Linked DNA regions of Caenorhabditis elegans. The protein of the gene in region 1 interacts with the protein of each later gene in a pairwise test. Each region holds a gene or a part of one and is shown on either strand. Other genes may lie near its edges.

Region 1 (4,101 bases):
CCATGCATCGAGATCATCATCTCCAACCTTCTCTCCACCCTGAAATATGTGAATAACGAGGAAAATTGGAGATATTTGGAGCACAAACCTCGACGAGAGCCTTGCAGACATCACAGAAAACACCGTGATGCTTCTTGAGATTGAGTGGGTTAGCTGGATTGGCTAGAAGTGGAGCAGCGGCGAGCAAGACAAGGAAAAGACACGGAAGAATGCGAGTCATTCTGTAGATTTTAAGATGAAAAACTGGAGAAATGAAGCGAAAATGCACCCGGAGCAGTGATGCTCGTGTCTTTTATCAACTTCGCGGCGGCACTGATAAGGAATCGAATCGTTTCTGATGTTTTCAGCATGGAGGAAAAGATCAAAGGACATTATAGAATACACACCGGGTCGTTCACACATCAGATGCCGATTTTTCGAACTGATAAGATCGCTTAGAGGAGTAGCTTTTCGCCTTGACGGAGAAAATATTGATTAATCAGGTTAGCAGTAAAGTAAATGGTGTGGGCATGTGATTTCTTGATAATTTGAGGAAGATGGAGGCAATCAATTTACTTATTTCAACAATTCTGGGGAAGCTTGAACAAAATCAACAAAGTTAAATAAATACGTAATTAGATAAATATTCACATTTCTTCTTTACAAATAGGCTCTCCGGATTTTTCAACTTTCAAATGCTATCGTCGCTTCTCGTGAGCGCATCCCAGGCGATTTGTCGATATCTGAAAGAGAAAATTGACATTTAAAAATTTAATTAAAAAAAAAAAAACAAACCTCTTGAGCTGCTGAACGGGCTCACTGGACGACGTGACGCCTCTTCCGACGATGATGATGTCGTTCTGCTGTACTTCGATCGCCTCGTCGACACCTCTCCACTGCTGACCGGCCGAGTCGGATTTCGCGTCGAGATTCACACCGGGCGTCCAATTGAGAAGATCCGAGCAAGCAGACACTCTCGTCTGAGTGATGAATCCAGAAATCACGTCACGATTCTCGTTGGCAATCTTGACGGCGGTCTCGGTGTATCCTTCCAGCGCAGTCAAAGATCCTTTGGTGCTGAGCTGCGCGATGAGGAGAACTCCACTGAGCCTGTAAGTCGGATCTTTGGCGAGCTTCCTGAAGACTCCTGCAATGCTGTCACTTCCTTGTACGGCATGAACAGTCACAACATCCGCCCAGTTGGCGATTTTCTGGGCTCCAGTGAGCTGAAGAAGGTTCGTGTTTCCAGTGTCGCCAAACTTCCGATCCTCGAAAATGATAAAGTCCATATCATTTGCCATCGTCGTCAGCTTCCTCGTGAATTCCTCGTTGAAATCGGTGATAGCGTCGGCGTGAAGCTTGATCGCCAGCACAAATGGACCAGCGAGCTCGATCATCTGAAGGCACTGCTCGACGGTAGTGTAGTCGACAGCGAGACACAGATTCGACTTCTTCCGGCGCATGATTCCAAGAATTTTCTTGATGAGTGCAGATTCTGTGAGGGATTCGCGTTCCGCAAGCGGAGTTCGCACGTTTTCCACGTACGGTAGACTGGACAGGTTTTCGAGCTCGCTGTTGATTTCCAGCTTTGTTGGGGAGGTGTACGGAAGGTTGAGAGCCTGAAATAATCAATTATTTTATTTTTAAATAGAAAATCGAGATAATTTGACTAACCTGAACAATTCCGTGCCACTGCTCGTCACCGATCGCTCCAGTTGAGTACAAGAATGTGAGAACTGTTTGCATGTCGAGCAGGCTGTGCAGCGTGACACCCGCGTCCTGGAGCTTCTGACGCCCGCCTTGTTCTCGATCCAGAATGCAAAATACATCCGAGGCGACCAAATTCTCTGTGTGAAGCACTTTTACCACGTCCAGGATGCTTCCACCTGTCGTCACGACGTCTTCGATGAGGATCAGACGATCGTTTGGCTGGTACAATCCCTCGATGAGCTTCTTCGTGCCGTAGGACTTGGCCTCTTTGCGAACGATGAGCAGCGGCTTCTTCAGATAGTTTCCAGCGGCGACTGATGCGTAGGGAAGAGCCGCGTATGGGATTCCAAGAACTCCAGCGTACTGAACCTCGCTAATCTCCACCTGCTTCGATATCGCTTCTGAGATAAGCATCTGGAAATAGTTTTCTTTTAAATAAAAATCATTAAAATAAGCTATTATTTTTTTTTTAAACTTTAAAAAACTCACCAAAAGCCCCGGATGCCCAAAGCATTCGCGAAGATCGATATAAATCGGTGAAATCTGCCCAGACTTGAGCTGAAACTCGCCGAATTTGAAGACGCTCGCTTTGAGCATTTGGCGGAGCAGATTCCGCTTCAGGGCTCCATTTCGGGTTTTGTCGGTGAGCGAGCTCATTTTCTCTGAATAGTACGATTACTTTTTGATGGAAAATAGTAGCGATGAATGTAAAATATAACGATAAGACTGAGGGAGATAATATATACTTGTGCAGAAAGCAGTAGTACGATTTGATAACAAGTTTTGAAGCGGAGAAGAGTAGGAGAAAGAGAACAAAGAGATTGATTGATAAGAAAAAGCTTGGGAAAAGAAATAAAATTGCATTTTGTTCAGATTTCTTAGTTTTACAGCGGGAAAACAGAAAAAGAACGAAAATTGGATTTGAAAAACTATTTTTTGAAGAGAAAACTTGAAGGTTACGGTAGAAGAGAGACAATGCGATGGAGAGAGACGCAGAGAAAGTTGCGTAACATTTGGTGTGCTGTACGCAACACAATGAGAGGGAATTTCAAATTTAGTTTTTCTGCGGGATCTTGTCGATAAATTTAATTAAGTTTTATTTAAATAGGGCTCGAGAAATTTTAAGATTTAAATAATGATTAATCAAAGATATGATGTTATAGTTTCAAATGAATATAAGAAAAACAATTAATAAAAATTTCTCAATGAAAAATAGATGCATTATTTTAAAAATTGTCATATAAACATTATAAACATTATATACCCCTCTAAAATTTTTGACTAGTGACGATCGATATTCCCCAAACGCGAACAGCATATCTGACGCGCAAAATATCTCTTAGCGAAAACTACAGTAATCTTTAAATGACTACTGTAGCGCTTGTGTCGATTTACGGGTTCGATTTTTAAAATTAACTTTAAGAGAAAAGGGAAAATAATACGAAAAAACGAATGAAAATGATATTTCGATGTTACTATTCGAAAAAAAATAACTTCAAAAATTGAGCCCGTAAATCGACACATGCGCTACAGTAGTCATTTTAAGAATTACTGTAGTTTTCGCTACGAGATATTTTGCGCGTAAAATATGCTGCGCAATACGCATTCTCAGGATTTATAGTATTTTAATTCTAAGTTTTCATCAAAAAAAACGTTGTCGGAAAAATTATTTTTTCAAATAATTCAGGCGGGAAATTCAAGCAGTTTAAAATTTCCGAAAAAATTTTGCGGGAGGCTCGAAGTTCTGAATTAAAAAAATCACAGGAACATTTTAAATTTTTAAAATTGTTTTCAGTCAATCTTTACAAAAAACAACATTTCCAACACTTTCCCGTTTCTCCCATAAACTCATTTTCCTGCCCAGCCAAAGTTGTCGTGGTGTGTTCAGTGATGCGTTCACCCAATTATGAGAGCTCTCGAGAGATGACGTTGTTCCTCTTTTCCCCATTCCAGCAACACATTCTAGAGCAATTTAACTAAATTGAGTGTAGCGTGAGTGAGTGCGCGTCCCTTCTAGAAAATAGAAAAAACGAAGCGAAAAAAAGAGAGAGAGAGAAAGGAGTCTCTCGAGAAGCTCATTGTGCATAGTTTTGGAAATTTGAAAATTGCAGAAAAATTCAGCCTCACGATTTTCCCAATATCATGACCCCTGCCTAACTTTGAATTAAAAAAAAAACATTTTTTCTTGAAAACTATTAAAATATATTGTTGAATTTGTTTAATCGCACTACAAATCAGGGGTGGGCGGCAATTGCTCCGGCAAATTTTTTTGTCGACAAATTGCCGGCTTGCCGATTTGCCGAATATCTGATTTGCCGTAAATATTTAGAGGGATTTTTTATAAGACGAAAATACTTAAAACTGTGCCTATTTGAACTTTTCCCGTTTTCTTTAGATATTTTTATATAATTT
Region 2 (6,189 bases), on another chromosome or scaffold:
ATGTCCAAAACTTAAGGCCAGCATATGCATTTTGAAGGAAGCAATTTTCTTTCCATGATACATTTCTCTGTGGCTTAAAATACTATAGATTATTATGGATGAGAAAAAATCTATTTAAAAACACCTTAACTTTCAATTTCATCCCTAATGTTCCTCCAATATGAAATGCTCTCAAACCAAATAAAGTTAAACATTTTACGCACTCTGGTTTTTTGTTCTCTTACTGATGCATTTCAGATGTAAAACGGAGATCAGTATATATAGTACTCATTAAAGGTACGAGACCATGCAGGTACTGTTATTTTTCGCAAAAAAATTTTCCTCAGTTGGTTTTTTTTCCGTTCAGCAAAAGTTGCAAAAAATAGTTTTCTTCTTCTTTCCAATTTTACTAGATATACTGAAATTTAAAATCTATCCGAATAAATGATTTTCTGGTTACTTTCCCCCCAACATTTAGTTCAGAAACCCAAAAAAAACGTATTTTCCGTCTTGCCGTTTTGCATTGAAAACAGAAAGAGAAACGCGTATTTTTTCGACACACTCAGACACATACACACAGACGCACACGAGAGATGTCAACAAATAACGAGTCGGAAAAAGAGAAAAAAAGAGGACGGCTGGAGAAGACCAATGCCTCGTCAGAACGAGAGAGAAGAGAAAAAGAGAAACAAAGGCACTGCATTTTACGACTCGCCTTTACACGACATTTCATCGACCAGAAATTTATTGGTTTTTTGCTCGATTTTTTGTAAGTTTATCGTAAAACCTAACTCGTAATACGTATAATAGATTTTGTAATAAAAATGCATTGCAAGGTTTATTTTAGTTGTAAAATTAAAATGATAAAATTTGTGCCCGTAAACTTTCAAAATAGTTCAAGACTTCACACCACTTGCCTTTGAATTTACGATTAAACAGATATTATCGTACTAGTTTTAGTTTCTATCGCTAATGTCTTTTTAAACGTCTTCATTTTTACGATGTAAATGTTTTCAAATTTTTTTTTTAATTGACGGCATTTTTAGTTAAAGTTATCTAATTTTTTCTCAGCTTATTATGTGTTTGACGGAATAGATAGAAATGATTTTTTGTAGAATCGAATTTTTTGTCTCAACAATTTTGGGCATGTTGAAAAACCGATGTCGTCAAAATTGTTTTGCTTTATTCGTAAATGATTTTGAAAAAAATGTCCATTTTCGAAATTACTTCCAATTATTAAATGTAGAGTAGCGCCAAAGTGTTCGAAATTAATTTCAGGACCCAAATATAGTAATGAAACTTCTCAGGAACTTTTTGAAATGTTTTATCCACTGCCTGAAGGTATTTACTATTTTGCAAGTCGACTAGATGTTTTTAAAATAATTTCAATTTTTTTACTTATATGTATTCAATTATTGTAGAGATATGATGCAAGAATTCTATAAGTTTAAAATATTTGACAGGAAATTTTTGAATGATCGAGGCAAAAAATTGGGGCATTTCCATTTATCGTTAAGACATATTTTGTGTTCGGATCAGCTCGAAAGTAAATTTTTCGAGTTTCTCATGTTATTTGCTGTTAGTTTGTGCATTTTCAGAGCTCCCACGTCAAAATGGCATGTTCTGGAGCGTTTTTGGTCTAACCATATGTTATGACGACCACGCATTTCAATTTATCCTTAAGACACACAATTTTTCAGATCAAAATAATGGTGAACTTAAAATATGACGATTATTTTACACCACTCGTTGATGGAACTCGATTGTGCAAGATTTTGATTGGTTCCGGTGATAACAAAACTGTTTGTGGACATCCAATAAAGAAACAAAAGAAATCAAGTGAGTCATTTTATATCTTCGATTATTAACTCTACGATTTCAAGGTACAAGTGGAATATTGTATCACTTAAGAGCAAATCATCCGGATACACTTCTTGAAATTGGTGGAAGTCTTGAAGTTCAGCCATTGAAAAAGCGAAAGTTAGGCGAGGAATGGCGAATTCCAGAGAATAAATCTGGAACTGAAGGAGATTTTATCAACTGGACAGCAGAAGATTTTGAGGAAAAACGAATCAATGATGCACTGATAAATATGATATGTCTTGATGCAATGCCACTCTCAACATTAGAACGTCCTGGAATACAACACTTTCTGAATGAAGTGTGTCCTACATTTGTGCCAAAAGGAAAAAATCAAATGAACGTAATGGTACATAGTCTTCATTTCAAATACGAGCAACGTCTGAGAGAAGAACTCCGAAATGTGGAATATGTTGGACTAGGATGCTATTCATGGAACAAAGACGATAGAAAAAATGAACAAGTTGTTGGAATCAGCTGTCATTTTATGAATTCTGATGGATCAATTGTTACAAGGTTTCTGGATGCTATACATATTTCTGATCCTCATGAAGATCCTGAATTGGAGATTGAAAATGCAATCAAATCCATTACGGATTATTATTCAATCGGAAACAAAGTTGTGGCAATGATTAAAGATGGAGTCTCAAACTTGAAGCTTTCTGCTCAATTGCTAGAATTTGATATATACGATTGTACATGGAATAGTCTCTCACTTGCCTCTATTTCAGGAATTAACACAATTCCAGGAGGAACTGAACTTATTGAAAAATGCAAGAAAATCGTTCAAAAAATCAACGAATCGGCAGTATATGAAACGAGTTTAATTGGAGAATATATGACCATCGATTCAGCTGATCTTGTCAAATCCGGCAAGTTGAATTGGATTACTGTCGTTAGTATGTTTGAGCAGTTCACTAAGTTGAAAGGACTACTCGATACATTTTTGATGAATGACATGGAAGGCCTGATGCTCTATCAACAAGATTACGATCTTATGGAGATTATCCTGAGAACACTGTCTCCCTTGAAAACTGCCGTCGATTTTGGAAAAGTTAGTTTATGATTAAAATATATCCTTTCAAATTGATGTTACAGCAACACACATTCCGGATTTCTGCAATAATTTCCTTAATTTCTGCATTGATTTCAAAGTACTCGGCAGAACACTCATATGATATGTGCAAGGCTATCAAATTGACACTTGAAGAAGAATTGAAAAGATATCTCCAAATTCCGACACTTTTGTTTGCAACTGTTATCGATCCAAGAGTAAAGGTTAGTTTTGTTTAAAACTATTTAACATGCAGGTTGAGGTCCTTGCCAAAATTTCAAAAAATTTTAATACAGTGCGTCCAACTTCTATAGCACCCCCCTCCAATTCGGCCGTTTGGAGCTTTTCAAAATATTTTTTTTGGAAAAGTGTTAGTGCAGTTCGATAGCAAATGTTGAAAAACCTATGCTCCCCAATTTTTATCATGATATCTCAAAAATCACGGAAATTAGGTCAAAATATCTGAAAAATGGCCGTCCAACTTCTATAGCACCCCATCTGATTTTTGACAAATTTCTGTAAATTCGGGGGTTTTCTTCGTAGTTAATGAATTTATTTTGTAAATCACACCAAAATAATCAGGTGGTTTCACTTTCACATTTAAAAAATAAATATAACCCTTGAAAACACGTGGAATGCCTGGGATTGTCCTGGAACATACTTATTTGCTTCAGAGGCCATATCTCGGCTCCCAATGATTTTCGCAGCACCAAAATTGATCAAAATGTTCTTCTCCGTCTATTCATTACTATGTAATTAGTTGTAGAAAGCATTTATTCATATGAACCAAATGGTAAAGGGAGCAACTTCAGTGGTTTTTAAAAGGTTCGTTTTAACCATGAAAACGAGCGTTCGCAGGCGCAGAGCTGAAGGTTTTGACTTTGTATGGTACAGAATTTCAGCTCATATGATTTAAATATCTTTGAAGCTTCGATTTTGATTAGAAGTCTTTGAAATTTTATTTGGACGAGTTCACGAGACCGCTCAAAAAAGAGGACAAAGGCAAAGCGAGGCCGCAAGTCTTTTTTTCAAGCTAACATGCGAAAATTTTAGACAGAAAAGTAAGATATACCTTTCCGAATGACGATTTTGCTAGTTGTATTTATAACTCAAGTTAAATTTAGCGAATTTGCTCATTGAATCTTTTTTTGGTCAAGTAATGCAAAAGCTACCAGACAAAACATTGAACCTGCGATTGTAGATGTCTGGCATCTGATTTACCCATGGATTTCCACGGATTTGTTGTTCATGTAAAATAATTTTTAATTTTACCTATAATGTAGTAATTTTTAGTCAAAAATGTATACCCAACCATTATCTCTGCGCCTCCGAACGCTTGTTTTCATGGTTAAAACGAACCTTTTAAAAACCACTGAAGTTGCTCCCTTTACCATTTGGTTCATATGAATAAATGCTTTCTACAACTAATTACATAGTAATGAATAGACGGAGAAGAACATTTTGATCAATTTTGGTGCTGCGAAAATCATTGGGAGCCGAGATATGGCCTCTGAAGCAAATAAGTATGTTCCAGGACAATCCCAGGCATTCCACGTGTTTCCAAGGGTTATATTTATTTTTTAAATGTGAAAGTGAAACCACCTGATTATTTTGGTGTGATTTACAAAATAAATTCATTAACTACGAAGAAAACCCCGAATTTACAGAAATTTGTCAAAAATCAGAGGGGGTGCTATAGAAGTTGGACGGCCATTTTTCAGATATTTTGACCTAATTTCCGTGATTTTTGAGATATCATGATAAAAATTGGGGAGCAAAGGTTTTTCAACATTTGCTATCGAACTGCACTAACACTTTTCCAAAAAATATTTTGAAAAGCTCCAAACGGCCGAATTGGAGGGGGGTGCTATAGAAGTTGGACGCACTGTAGATAGAAGTGGCTTCAAACAGTAAAAACATGTAATTATTTAATTTTAATTTAATCACCAGACACGAAATTTGCCAATATACCAAAACTTTTTTTTAGAGAGTTTCAAAATACAGTTTTAAAAGTATCTACTTTTTAAAAGTAATGTTGAAACTAAAAACTGCACATTTTGTTGTTTATAAAAAATTATTTTGCAGTTATTATTACTGCCTGCGACAGCAAAGGAAATTGTGCAGAAGAAACTTGAAAAAATTGCACAAAATATAAGGAATGCAGAAGACGTAAAAGATGTTGCAATTACTCACAACCAGCATTGTAAAACTGATGTTCAAAGCAATTATGATCTATTCGCAGAGTTGTTCAAAAAATTACACGGAGAAAATTATCAGAATTCTTGTAAAGAGGGAGAGATCGTGAGCCCACAAGCAATGGCTAAGACAGTATGTTTCTTTCAGTGAATATTTTCGAACATTAATTGATATTATTCAGGAGCTAGAACGATGGATTTCGGAGCCAAACATTGCATTTGAGGAGCCTATAGTGTTTTGGCAAAAAGCAGAAAATCGAACTAGATATCCTCTTTTATTCCAACTCTCTTCAATTGTATTATGCCTACCGGGTGCTTTGTTGAATACTGAAAATCTTACTTCCGCTAAGAATCTACTTTTCGAGCATCAAATTGGCTGTGAAGATCAAACTAATCAGAAAATATTATTCCTTCATCAGAACATGAAATTAATTGGTATTCTATGATAATTTATCTAAAAGCTTGTTTTCATTCTGAAATGCATGCTTCAATGATTGTATAATTTCCATATTGAATTTGAAATTAATATTTACTTTCTTTAAAATGACAAAAATAAACTATGCATTTTTATTTTCCAAATGAAATGAATACAACTAATTAATACAATTTTGAATGGTTTTACATACATTTTAATATTTTGTCCAAATAATTTAATCGGTCATTCGATTTGTATGAATCTTCTTAACAATCTTCTGGGTGTGATTATCATATCCTTTCAATTTGTCATCTGATGCCTCAATATACTTCTTGATGCGATTTATTCGCTCCTGCCATTGTTTTTTCAATTCGTCACTAGTGGCTTTGTCAAGTTTTGGATCTTTCAGTTTCTGCTCGATTTCTAATTTTTCAGTCCGCTGTCGGAAGAATTTGTTCAACTCCTTCTCATATTCGTCACCTTTCTTTTCTTCTTGTTTTTCAAATGTTTCTTTCTGAAATATGACATCTATTCTCCCTTATGTCCACTAATTCATTTTTGTGCTAAAAATATAAAAAACACAAACCTCAACAGATTTCAGCTCACAGAGAAGTCGGAATTTCTCTTCGAAGTCGTTCTTCACTTCAACAGAAACCATTTTGTTTTTATAGTTTGGCTGTAATGTT
Region 3 (3,160 bases), 8.4 Mb from region 1:
TCTTTTTTTTTTGCCAGAAAAAATTGATTTTTTTTTGAGTATTTCCAAATTTCTAGGTTCAATGAAAAATATTTAAAAATTGTATAAAAACGCCTAAAATTGCAGATTTCAGACATTTCAGATAATTTTTCGATGAAAATTCTGAAAATAACTTGGAATTTTGAATATTTTCGCTTCCGTACAGTGATATTAAGCATTTCTTGAATGCGATTTCCCATTTTTCCGCCAAATCCTCGAACATCTCCGATTGGCGTAAGCCGGAGAATTTCTCGAACATAGAACCACGGAATTAACGTTTGTTGGCGTGGTTTATGCCGGGCGCACACCAATTTCGCCATCATTTTGTTGTTTCCGACGCCTGAAAATGGAAAATTGCGATTTTTGGGCGAATTTTTCCCCCCAAAAAATGAATTTTTCTGGATTTTCCGGCAAAATCCATACCCGCCGAGCAAAAAAACTGGGTTTCCTCGTGAATTTGTTGCCGAATTTGCTCTACAGTGACCGCGGCAATCAGTAAAAGCAGGTTTTCCGTGCAATTTCTCGCATTTTCAATATATTCCAGCAGCACATCTTCTCGTAGGTGCTCATTTTCTTTCACATCTTCTCCGGTAGCGAGGTGTGTGGTTGGGAGGTAGGTAATAGCAGCCTGAAATGCGAAAATTAGGCAATTTTTAGCGAAAAAATCATGGATTTTGCTTGAAAATTCATTAACAAACGGCAAAAAACCTGTGGACCTAGTGCCGCCCGGCGCGAGCGGTCGCGTCGCGGTTGGCACGTTTTTTAGAGGTAATTTGAAATTCTTGAATTTTATTAATTGAATTTAGCGGAAAATCAGGTTTTTCGCGTTTTTTTTCTTGAAAAAACTGCTAATTCTGCAAAAAGATGCTGAAATAGGGGGGATTTTTCTCATTTTTCAACTTTTCAAGCTAGATTTACCTGCAAAAACTCCTCCAATCCCTCGTTTTCTCTCAATTCTTGCAATTTTTGATTAGTATACGCGGATAAATCAAGAAAAGCCTCATCGACAGACGCTTTTTCGATTATAATTTGCGAGTCGTAATTGTTCAGCACCCGGAAGACTTCTGCGCTAGCGTCGCTGAAAAAATAGCAATTTTTGGGACTTTTTCAATATAAGAATTCCAACCGATATTTCTGAATATCAGCTTTATCTACATATTCTCCAATCGGAACGTGACATATTGATATTTGAGGGCATTTTAACTTCGCTTCGGCCACCGTCATCCCTCGTTTCACTCCGAACGGGCGGGCTTCATAGCTTACAGCCAAAATTCTGGAAATTTCGGGCTTTTTTTGGAGAATTTCAGATTAAAATTCAGCTTACCCACCCTCGATACCCTGCCTGGAGTGCTGCACGACGATCACCGGCTGTCCCCAAAGCGATGGATTGTCCCGTTGTTCGACTTGTGCGTAGAAACAGTCCATATCGATGAGGCTGATCACTCTTTTCATGTTTTATGTGTCTGAAAATATTCAAAAACTATGAAAAGTTGAAAAAAAAAAGAAAAAAAGCCGGAAATTGCGAAAAAACGAATTTTTAAAACAAAAAAAAACCAAAATCAATGTTTGAAACCCCGCCTAAAGTGCACTGCAATCGCGCTCCACTAAGACGATTTGGCTGCTTGGCTGAGTATTCAACGTTAATGCATAGGCGGTGGAAAGGCGTAGGCCAACGAAGTTTTTCACATACTTTTCTCGAATTTCCGTGATTTTTAGGTGATTTTCTCCATTTTTTGTGGTTTTAAGCATTTTCCAGTAGTTTTGATGCGAAATACCTACAAATATTCATCGAAATGTGTCTGTTTTGCTTCGCGTTCTCATAATTTTTGTAAAAATGAATTCCCGAATTTTCAGGTAAAAACAAGCAGACATGGTTCGCATGAACGTCCTCGCCGATGCGCTCAACGCCATCAACAACGCCGAGAAGCGCGGAAAGCGTCAGGTTCTCATCCGTCCAGCCTCCAAGGTAAATTCGCGTCGTTCTTCGAGAATTCTCAATGCATTTTTGTTAATAGATGATGATGCTGGCAGCCTCGGTCGCAAAAAATGACCAAGGCTCTCCGTGAATTTAGAATTTAGTGAAAGAAACTCGGTTTTATTTCCAAACATAACTTTCGGTTCTAATTAAACGGAGACACCCTTGGTTAGATTCTCTCAATCTGGAGATCTTCCTGGGATATGAATGTTGAAGGTAACCAGCTTAACATCTACTTTCCGTATTTCTAGTTTTCCACCTGTCCCTTCCCATCGCAACAATAATTTTCCAGGTCATCGTCCGCTTCTTGACCGTCATGATGAAGCACGGATACATCGGAGAGTTCGAGATCGTCGACGACCACCGCGCCGGAAAGATCGTCGTCAACCTCACCGGACGTCTCAACAAGGCCTCCGTCATCTCCCCACGTCTCAACATCCGTCTAAACGATTTGGAGAAGTACACCAACACCCTCCTCCCATCCCGTCAGTTCGGATATCTCATCCTTACCACCTCCGCCGGAATCATGGATCACGAGGAGGCCAGAAGAAAGCATTTGGGAGGAAAGATTCTCGGATTCTTCTTCTAAATCCAAACCCTAATTTTTTGTTTGTTATTATTACAAATAAATTGTTGTTACAACTACAACCGAGTCGTGTGTTCAGTTCGGCATCCAACTTTTCAGGGTTTCTAAATATCTTTTAAAACCTTTGGGTTTCGTTTTCGGGGACCACGAATTTTTCAGAATGCTCCGCTCAGCAGTTTCAGCTCTCTATAGAGCATCGAGAAGCTTCTCCGAGACAGTTCCCAGACTTTCAGCCACTCCACTGGGGAAGCAAGAGCCCCAGTTGTCCCTGTCATACACCTGCAAAGTGTGCAACTCCCGGGAGGTTTGAGCCAAGAAAGCTAGAAAACTGGATTTGAAATTCCTAATAATTTCAAGGGCCCAAAAACATTTGCCAAGTCATCATACGAGAAGGGAGTTGTCATTGTCACGTGCTCCGGCTGTCACAACCATCACATCATCGCTGACAATATCGGATGGTTCGAGGACTTTAAAGTGAGCATTTTTGCTCTTGAAAACGGAGCATCGTTGACGCGTGTTGTTTAGCGTAAATCCAATTTTTTCCAGGGAAAAAACATCGAGGATCATCTGAAAACGCGAGG
Region 4 (7,752 bases), on another chromosome or scaffold:
CGATGAATTCCTTGAGGGCGAGATTCGTGAAGAATGTGGAAAATATGGAAATGTCATTGATGTGGTAATCGCGAATTTTGCATCCAGCGGACTTGTCAAGATTTTTGTGAAATACTCGGATTCGATGCAGGTGGATCGGGCAAAAGCGGCACTGGATGGACGATTTTTTGGTGGAAATACTGTCAAAGCGGAGGCATATGATCAGATTTTATTTGATCATGCCGATTATACTGGATAATTAATTTAATTTATTGTTTTTTTTTTTTTGGTTTTTTCCATTTGTATTCTCGAATTCCTCCATGTTTTTAATTCTATGAATCTCATACGTTTCATTTTGTCTTTGGTTTTTGTACAATTTAATATTACTCAGACGCGAAATTTTGCGATTTTCCCCCGGTGTCTGGTCTCGACACGAAACATTTTTTGATAAATGCAAAAATGTGTGCGCCTTAAAAGAGTACTGTAATTTTGAGCTGCCAAATTTTCATAGATTTTTCGATGTTTACATATTTATTCATTTATTTAAAAAAAACTCAAATTTTAACAAATCGAGGAAATAAATTATGAAAAATGCCGAATTTTCGCAATTTTTCAAATTTAGATTTTTTTTTCAATAAATAATTGTATTTTTTGCGAAATTTTCATAGATTTTTCGAAAAAAAACTATATTTATTTATTGAAAAACTTAACAAATCGTGAGAAAAATTCAGAAAAAATTTATTTTTTCAATATATAAATTTCTTTTAATCGAAAAATCGATAAAAGTTCCGTAGCAACAAAAGTTTGAAGTTACAGTACTCTCTAAAGGCGCACACCTATTCACATTTAACAAAAAATTGTCGTGTCAAGACCAGCTACCGTAGTTTTGGCGCCGAAATCGCGGAATTTTGCGTCCGAATGAAAGCAAAAAAAACACACACACACACAAAAACCAGTGAAAACTTTGCAAGTTTGCAAAAAAAAATTAGGGATAAATATGAGAATCAGTGACGAGATGAGGTGAAACGCTGTGATGAGAGACTTTCACAGTTGATCTCATCAAAATACTTGAACAATCGATCGAACGTCGGACGGCGCCGCGGATCCAGGTGGACACAAATTTTGAACGCATCCTCGTACACGTAATCCGGAACCAGTTCAGGACGTGGCAGCACATATCCACGTGACAGATGTTCAAGTGTTCCCTCGTAATCCCATCCTCGATATGGTGTTTTTCCAAGAGTTCCAATCTCCCAGAGAAGAATTCCGTACGACCAGACGTCGGTTTTTGTGCTAAAAAATTGAGAAAATTTTATGAAATTGATTTGCAAGCGCGCTCCAGCGGCGTATTAGGGTCTCGTTAGGTGTTGGCGGGAAAATCATGAATTTAAATGTTTCCTTTTTGCATTTTTTCCACCATTTTCAGACATTTTAGGGTTTTGGAACTTTTTCTGTTGTTCCCGCCAATACCTAACGAGACCCGGGCTACTGTACTTGTTAAATCAATAAAATCAGCATACCATTTCAAAGGGAGATAATGGTGATCATGAGTATGGGTCTTAACGCGAAAATATTTATTGACAAACCATTTCGAAATTGCGCCTTTAAAATAACAACTGACAGATTTTATGATTGTTTTCAAAAAAAGAAAAGCGCGATTTTTGCGCTAGAAATACGGTACCAGGTCTCGACACGACAAACTTTTGCTAATTGCAAAAAGGTGCGCGCCTTTAAAGATTACTGTAGTTTCAAACTTTTGTTGCTGCGGAGTTTTCAAATTTGCATCGATTTTACATAGTTTTTCTCACGATTTGTTGAAATCTGAGCTTTTTTTCAAAATATCATAAAATAAAGAAATGTTCATCGAAAACTATTTAAAAAAATGATAAAAATTTTGCAACGACGAAAGTTTGAAATTGCAGTAATCTTTAAAGGCGCACAGTTGTTTACTATTCACAAGAAATTTGCCGTGTCAAGACCAGTCACCGGATTTTTCGGCGCAAGAATATCTCATCTGGATAATACTACATGTTTAAGGAAAGAAAATTACGTTGTTGGGTCCTAAAACGAGCGAAACTTTTCGGCTACCGTAACCGAGGGTACGGTAAATTTCAACTGCAACTTGCTCTCGATATTTGACATTTAATTTGAACAATTCTTTAAAAAAAATGAAGAAATCGAAAGAAAACCCGCTGAGGTACGGTAGGTGAAAAGTTTGGTTCGTGTCAGGACCCAATTTGGCGACGAATTTCGGCGCGGATAGGTAATATAAATTTAAAAAATATTTCTCGCAAATACAGCATCGAAAATATCCTATTTTTAAATATAATTTTCAAATGGGAACCATTTTCGAGAAAAACTTGCAAAAACCAGGGACCGTGGCAGTACATCACATTTTACGCGCAAATTTTCAATAATAATTAGACAACTTACTTGAAAATCTGTTCATCAAAACACTCAGGCGCCATCCATTTCCACGGCAACATATTATCAGTTTTCATCACATAATTCTCATCTCCAACGTCTGTTTTTCGTGCCAAACCAAAATCCGCAACTTTCACAAGAGGCACTCCATTTGACGAAACTGTTCCAACAAGAACATTTCTTGCGGCCAAATCTCGATGAACAATCTTATTTGCCGATAGGTAATCCATACCGGAAGCCACCTGAAATTATACACAAATTTGCGCGTCAAATATGATGTTTTCCATACCTGCGCAGAGATACTCGCTCCAATCAAAACATTCTTTCTTCCGGTCTCTTCACTCATCAGGGGAATTGGTGGAAGAGTTTTTGTGAGCTTTTGTAGCCACGCTAATAAGGATCCGTTGGTCATAAATTCGGTGATAATTAGGTATGGTTTGTCGGTGTCACAGACTGCGAGTAGATGGATGACATTTTGATGAGAAAGTTTTGTCAGCGTTTTTGCTTCTCTGGAATTTTAGATTTCTGCGTCAAATATGGTGTATTATGGAGACGTGAAAAATTAGTCTTTTAAAGTTGATGTGCACGCTCCAACGCCAAATAAGGGTCTTGTTAGATATTGGCGGTAAAAAATTCAAACGCTTTAAATTATTATTTCGCAAATTTCATTCTTGTTTTTTTAAATTGATATTTTATATCAAAATTAGAGAAAACGTTTTTTCGACATAAAAATCATGAAAACAGTGGAAAAACATTAAAAAAAAACTACAAAAAATCTTTAATTGGAGCGCGATTGCACTTCATTTTCAAAAGTCGAATTTTTCGTATCCTTATAATATTCCAACTCACTCTAAAAACTGCGTATTTGCCAATTGTTCAGAGTGATCTGGTTTCAACGACTTCACAGCAACATCCACTCCCTTCCACTTCGCAAGGTACACCTAGAAATTATTTCAAACTTGCGCGTCAATCATGGTGTATCGAGAACTCACTTCTCCGAATTGTCCTCTTCCAATTTCTTTGACTCTTCTCACTTCACTTCTGTTGACATGAATCTTCTTCATTGCCATGTACTCGGTTTGCTCGGGCAGTGGTGGAGCAGCTTTTGTGAGCTTTGTGCAGATTTGAATTTCTCCAGGTACTTTTTCGCCTGGAAATTTGAATTGCAGTTCACTGATTTAAAAACAAAGTTTGATTGCCAGCAATTTTGCAAATAAATCTTGAAAATTTTGACTGCTTTCACTGATCTCTTAATGTATTAAAAATGCCGAAAACTTAAAAAACGTCAAATAAAGGGGTGTGGCCAGAAAACTTACAACTATAATGGTTTACCAATTGATGAAGTGATCCGAAATGAATAACCGCCGGTCTATGATTATCTCTAATTTCAAAGCCTTCTTGATTCGGTCGTCGGTAGATGATATAAGCTTGTGGTGACTCGTTATCTGAAAATTAATATTTCATCTGGCCGGGGACTTGCTGCGTGGCCGTGAAAATGGAAAACTCGGCCATGACCGAATGTTCTCTTCTGCGGCCCCCAACGACTCACGAGAACTTCTGACAACTAGCACAAATGTGTCGGTTTTCGAATTTTCCCGAATCAAAAAAGATCCGATTGGTAGTTGCGGTTGCATGACCCTCTGTTCTGCCAGAATTGATGATATATTTCCAGCGAACCATGGCTCTCGGTATTCGGCATAGACCACATGGGATTTTGGGACAAAACCTTTGAATTGTCGGGACTTACTTGCCACGTACCACCATTCTCTGGAAAAAAAATTTGGGTGAAAGTGAGGGATGGCCTAGAAAAATCGGTAAATCTCGGCCAGAGAGAGAGAGAGAGGTTTTTTGTGTGAAATTTTGAAAATTGCGCGTAGGATATGATGCATAGCGGTCGAACCGAACTGTTTTTTTTTAATTTTGAAAAAGTTGCGTTTGGTGTATTGAAGTCGACGAAACACATCGTATTTTACGCGCAATTTTTTTTTAATTTAAAAACTTGCGCGTAAGATATGGTGTATAACAGTTTTCATTTGAAATTCAAAAAACCTACCGGTTGCTCTGCTCAATAAGATAGAGTACATCTCCCTCCTCGACACTCATTTCTTTCGGAGTCTGTGCCAAGAAGCGGTTCTCCACAATGAGCATTTTCTCTTCAGGTTCTGAAAAAATTGTAATTGCGCGTCAAACATGGTGCATCATATAAGTTTACCTGAATGTGAGCACTTTGCTGAGCCATGATGTGAATGTGTTTTTGAAACTGGTCGAGGAGAAAATGAAGCTCCATTTGGAACACTTTTTGTAGAAGTTGCTGATGGATGCCGCGAAATGTTACCTGAAAATTAGTATTTTATTTTTATCTAGCTTTACGCCTACGTTGTGCCTACACGCCTTTTCAGGCCTAGGTAGGCAGGCGCACAGGCCTGAAGACGTATATACCTACCAAGGTAATATAATAGGTGGATGCACTCAGGCTGCCTCGAAGGCAGATAGGCAGGCATTTTTCATTAACTGTAACTTACCGGAATGATGTGGAATTGGCGGAGGTACCAAATTGGATTCTGATCTTCTTGGCGGAATCGGAGGACGAGGATCCGTACTGGAAACTGATTGTGTAGACGGACGAAGTGGTGGAGGTTTGGCTGGTACAGCGACTGATGGTGTGGATTCTGGCATCACAGGTCGTACTGAAAAAGTGTATAATATATTTAAAAATCATTTATATCTTGAACCTTCTTGAATGACGCGCCTGCCTTATGCCTACCTCCCTACCGCATCTTCAGAACCAATCGAAAAATCACAATTAGGCATATTCCTGATAAGAAATTTTTTGAGAAAAAGCAGAAACTACACGGGAATGTGATCAGTGCCAGTACAACGCGAAGAACTAGAAATGACGTGTCCGAGCAAATAAAAAATTCGTTTTCCGTTATGATAGAATGATCAAAAAGGTTAACGAGAACTGGAGAAAATGAATTTTTGAGCAATTTATTATTGAACATTTTTCTTAAATTTTTATATTATTAAAGTACTGTTTTACTGAAAAATCATTATGGAGTGAAAAGAGAAATTTACAAAATCAAAAAATATTAGCCTCGGCTACGGTAGTTGAAAAGTTTTGTTCGTGCCAGGACCCGAGGCAAATAAAAATAATTGGTGAGGAAAAATTGTTCAATAACTTTATGTGTATTTTTCTTTATTAAGAATAAAAAGCTGTTTCAAGAATTGCTAAAACGGTAAAATTTTTCAAAACATATTGAACCAACATACCATTTTGAAAAATTACCAAAAATAAAAGGAGTTTTCCAACTAATTGAATCGATTATATAGGAGTTAATAATAAAAATCAATAAAATTATAAACTCACATGCAAGTTCCTGGCTTGAAAACGAACCATCATCCAACAACACAGCCGATCGATATTCCCTATTATTATTTCGTTCATCTTTTTTATTCTTCTTTTCGTGATGTGAATGCTTGTGACCCATATCGATCAATCGAGAAGAAACTGACTGACTTTCCCAAAAAAAAAGAGAGAGAGAGAGAGAGCACACTCTGAAACTCCTCTCTCTCTTTCCATTTACACACACACACACTGTTTTCTGACCATATTTAACATAGGAAGAAGGCAGATAAGCTTCAGCGTGTGTGGCTGGTGCATGTTGACCGTCATTTAATTTTAGAGTTACTCATCACTTCGGATGATTATTCTATGCGATGACGTAGGAGATTGCGTGCTTTTGGCAGACTTTTGAAATCGTATGACTATTTGAAACAGTATTATTTCTTTAAATTGAAATACAAAAATTTTGTTCTGCTTATTTTACAAATATTATGAAAATTGGATTTTAAAATTGCTTTATTTTTTTGAAAACTAGAATTGGACTGAAATTTTTTTTAAATCAGAGTTTTCATAACTTGAAAAATTAACAATTTCAGTGAATTAACCACGAAAACTGCGTTTGGAACGTGCTAGATTATCTGAAAAATCGGAAATATTTCTAAGAAATTCAGTACGAAAATTTTAAAAGTCTGGATAAAATTATTTTTTCTTTAAAAAAAAACGATACGGACCGGTTTTTTAAAAGTTCCACCAAAAGTTGGTTATCTACTATGCTGGCTCAAATAATTAACTGGACAATACACTTAGCTCGATGTTGAGGTTACAACCATAAGTACCCTTTTCCAACCCATGTATATTTTCACAGTTGAAATTTTTTATAATTCAGAAAGTTAATCCCCTTTAAAATTGGGACATAGACAACGAAAAGAGTCTCGGTATCGAATTCAAAAACTTAAAACAAAACTGGTTCCTTCATTACACCCAATCGTTTCATCACTTACACTTTCAGCGAACAAACATTCGGTTTTGCAGCAGAAGCTTCTAATGATTTACCTAAATGATCGGCTCGATTTTATTTGAATACAGTGCAAAAATGGGAAAAGATAATCACAAGGGGATTGAGCCCTTTGTCAGAAAAATTCAAAAAATAAAAACAGCGAGAAAGATGTTTCATTAACATACGAAAAGCAATGTGATGTTCATTTTGGCGATATTTTGTTCCCAAATTCTGAAACCAAAAAAGTTATGCATAATAAATTTATCAATGCTAATTCCTGTTGAAAGATCATTGTGGCGTTTGCTAGTACTTGCTAGTACAGTATTTATCAAAAAGTAATAATTTGGTAAATGTAAGGTGAAGCAAACAGGCATGCATTCCTGGCATTTTTACAAATATCAATAACTTGATAAAAATTAACTGCGAGGGCACAGTTGGAACGGAAAATATGTCAATGCCTGGAACGGAACTGAAACAAAAACTTCAAATATTACTAGATTTCTAAAAGTGCACTGGAACTAGGGTGTCACATGTGGCAACTTATAACTTCCAATCATGTTCCACAATGCCTACCTCGCTCTGCCTACACGCCTGCCCTCAACCTATCAATTCTTATATGTATAGAAGCCAACAAATTGGGCACTCCAAAATGCACGAAAACTACCAAGAATCAAGATAAGTTTAAATTTAAATTTATCAGAGTAGATCTACCTGCCAAACGCGCCTAACTGCCTGCATGCCTACATACCTGCCTGCAAAAAAAAACTATACGCCTAATTTTGCTGCCGAAAGGATACAACTGTAATAACATGAGCAGTTTTGGAGCACTGTAAAATACAAAATACATACCTATCAGAAATAGGCAGGCACAAAATCCTGGCTGCCTATCATCACAAAATTGAAAAGGTGGGATATCGTTTAATCAGATTTTTAGATTAAGAACAAATTTCAGTAAGATTTTCCTAATATTTTCCCTAGTATTACTAATCAAATTGTATTAATTTAACTT

Evidence for each region.
Region 2: the proteins of umps-1 (region 1) and C53D6.6 interact in a two-hybrid assay, tested with the Caenorhabditis elegans proteins (one large-scale study listed by BioGRID).
Region 3: the proteins of umps-1 (region 1) and rps-15A interact in a two-hybrid assay, tested with the Caenorhabditis elegans proteins (one large-scale study listed by BioGRID).
Region 4: the proteins of umps-1 (region 1) and Y47G6A.5 interact in a two-hybrid assay, tested with the Caenorhabditis elegans proteins (one large-scale study listed by BioGRID).

What each region holds. Positions count from the first base shown.
Region 1 is NC_003281.10:10,355,298-10,359,398, forward strand, and holds umps-1 (Orotidine 5'-phosphate decarboxylase), read right to left. Parts: upstream 2,352-4,101; 5' UTR 2,347-2,351; coding exon 2,179-2,346; intron 2,104-2,178; coding exon 1,654-2,103; intron 1,599-1,653; coding exon 775-1,598; intron 723-774; coding exon 671-722; 3' UTR 540-670; downstream 1-539. Other genes in the region: spp-1 (Saposin B-type domain-containing protein), read right to left, coding at 1-39, 89-220. UniProt on the Caenorhabditis elegans protein: Bifunctional enzyme which catalyzes the formation of UMP from orotate in the de novo pathway of pyrimidine biosynthesis. May also form UMP from uracil. Regulates the size of gut granules during embryonic development.
Region 2 is NC_003282.8:9,027,146-9,033,334, reverse strand, and holds C53D6.6 (HAT C-terminal dimerization domain-containing protein), read left to right. Parts: upstream 1-1,679; 5' UTR 1,680-1,688; coding exon 1,689-1,818; intron 1,819-1,862; coding exon 1,863-2,893; intron 2,894-2,937; coding exon 2,938-3,117; intron 3,118-4,978; coding exon 4,979-5,221; intron 5,222-5,270; coding exon 5,271-5,534; 3' UTR 5,535-5,655; downstream 5,656-6,189.
Region 3 is NC_003281.10:1,948,788-1,951,947, forward strand, and holds rps-15A (Ribosomal Protein, Small subunit), read left to right. Parts: upstream 1-1,872; 5' UTR 1,873-1,888; coding exon 1,889-1,984; intron 1,985-2,033; exon of another isoform or gene 2,034-2,200; coding exon of another isoform or gene 2,201-2,209; intron 2,210-2,285; coding exon 2,286-2,582; 3' UTR 2,583-2,637; downstream 2,638-3,160. Other genes in the region: polh-1 (DNA polymerase eta), read right to left, coding at 183-358, 442-646, 937-1,096, 1,145-1,291, 1,343-1,470; F53A3.7 (DNL-type domain-containing protein), read left to right, coding at 2,740-2,883, 2,937-3,053, 3,126-3,160.
Region 4 is NC_003279.8:3,532,133-3,539,884, reverse strand, and holds Y47G6A.5 (Tyrosine-protein kinase), read right to left. Parts: upstream 6,001-7,752; 5' UTR 5,892-6,000; coding exon 5,771-5,891; intron 5,185-5,770; exon of another isoform or gene 5,136-5,184; intron 5,091-5,135; coding exon 4,926-5,090; intron 4,739-4,925; coding exon 4,616-4,738; intron 4,566-4,615; coding exon 4,457-4,565; intron 4,171-4,456; coding exon 3,953-4,170; intron 3,849-3,952; coding exon 3,720-3,848; intron 3,554-3,719; coding exon 3,396-3,553; intron 3,345-3,395; coding exon 3,253-3,344; intron 2,913-3,252; coding exon 2,693-2,912; intron 2,646-2,692; coding exon 2,413-2,645; intron 1,273-2,412; coding exon 984-1,272; 3' UTR 305-983; downstream 1-304. Other genes in the region: Poly(U)-binding-splicing factor rnp-6, read left to right, coding at 1-238.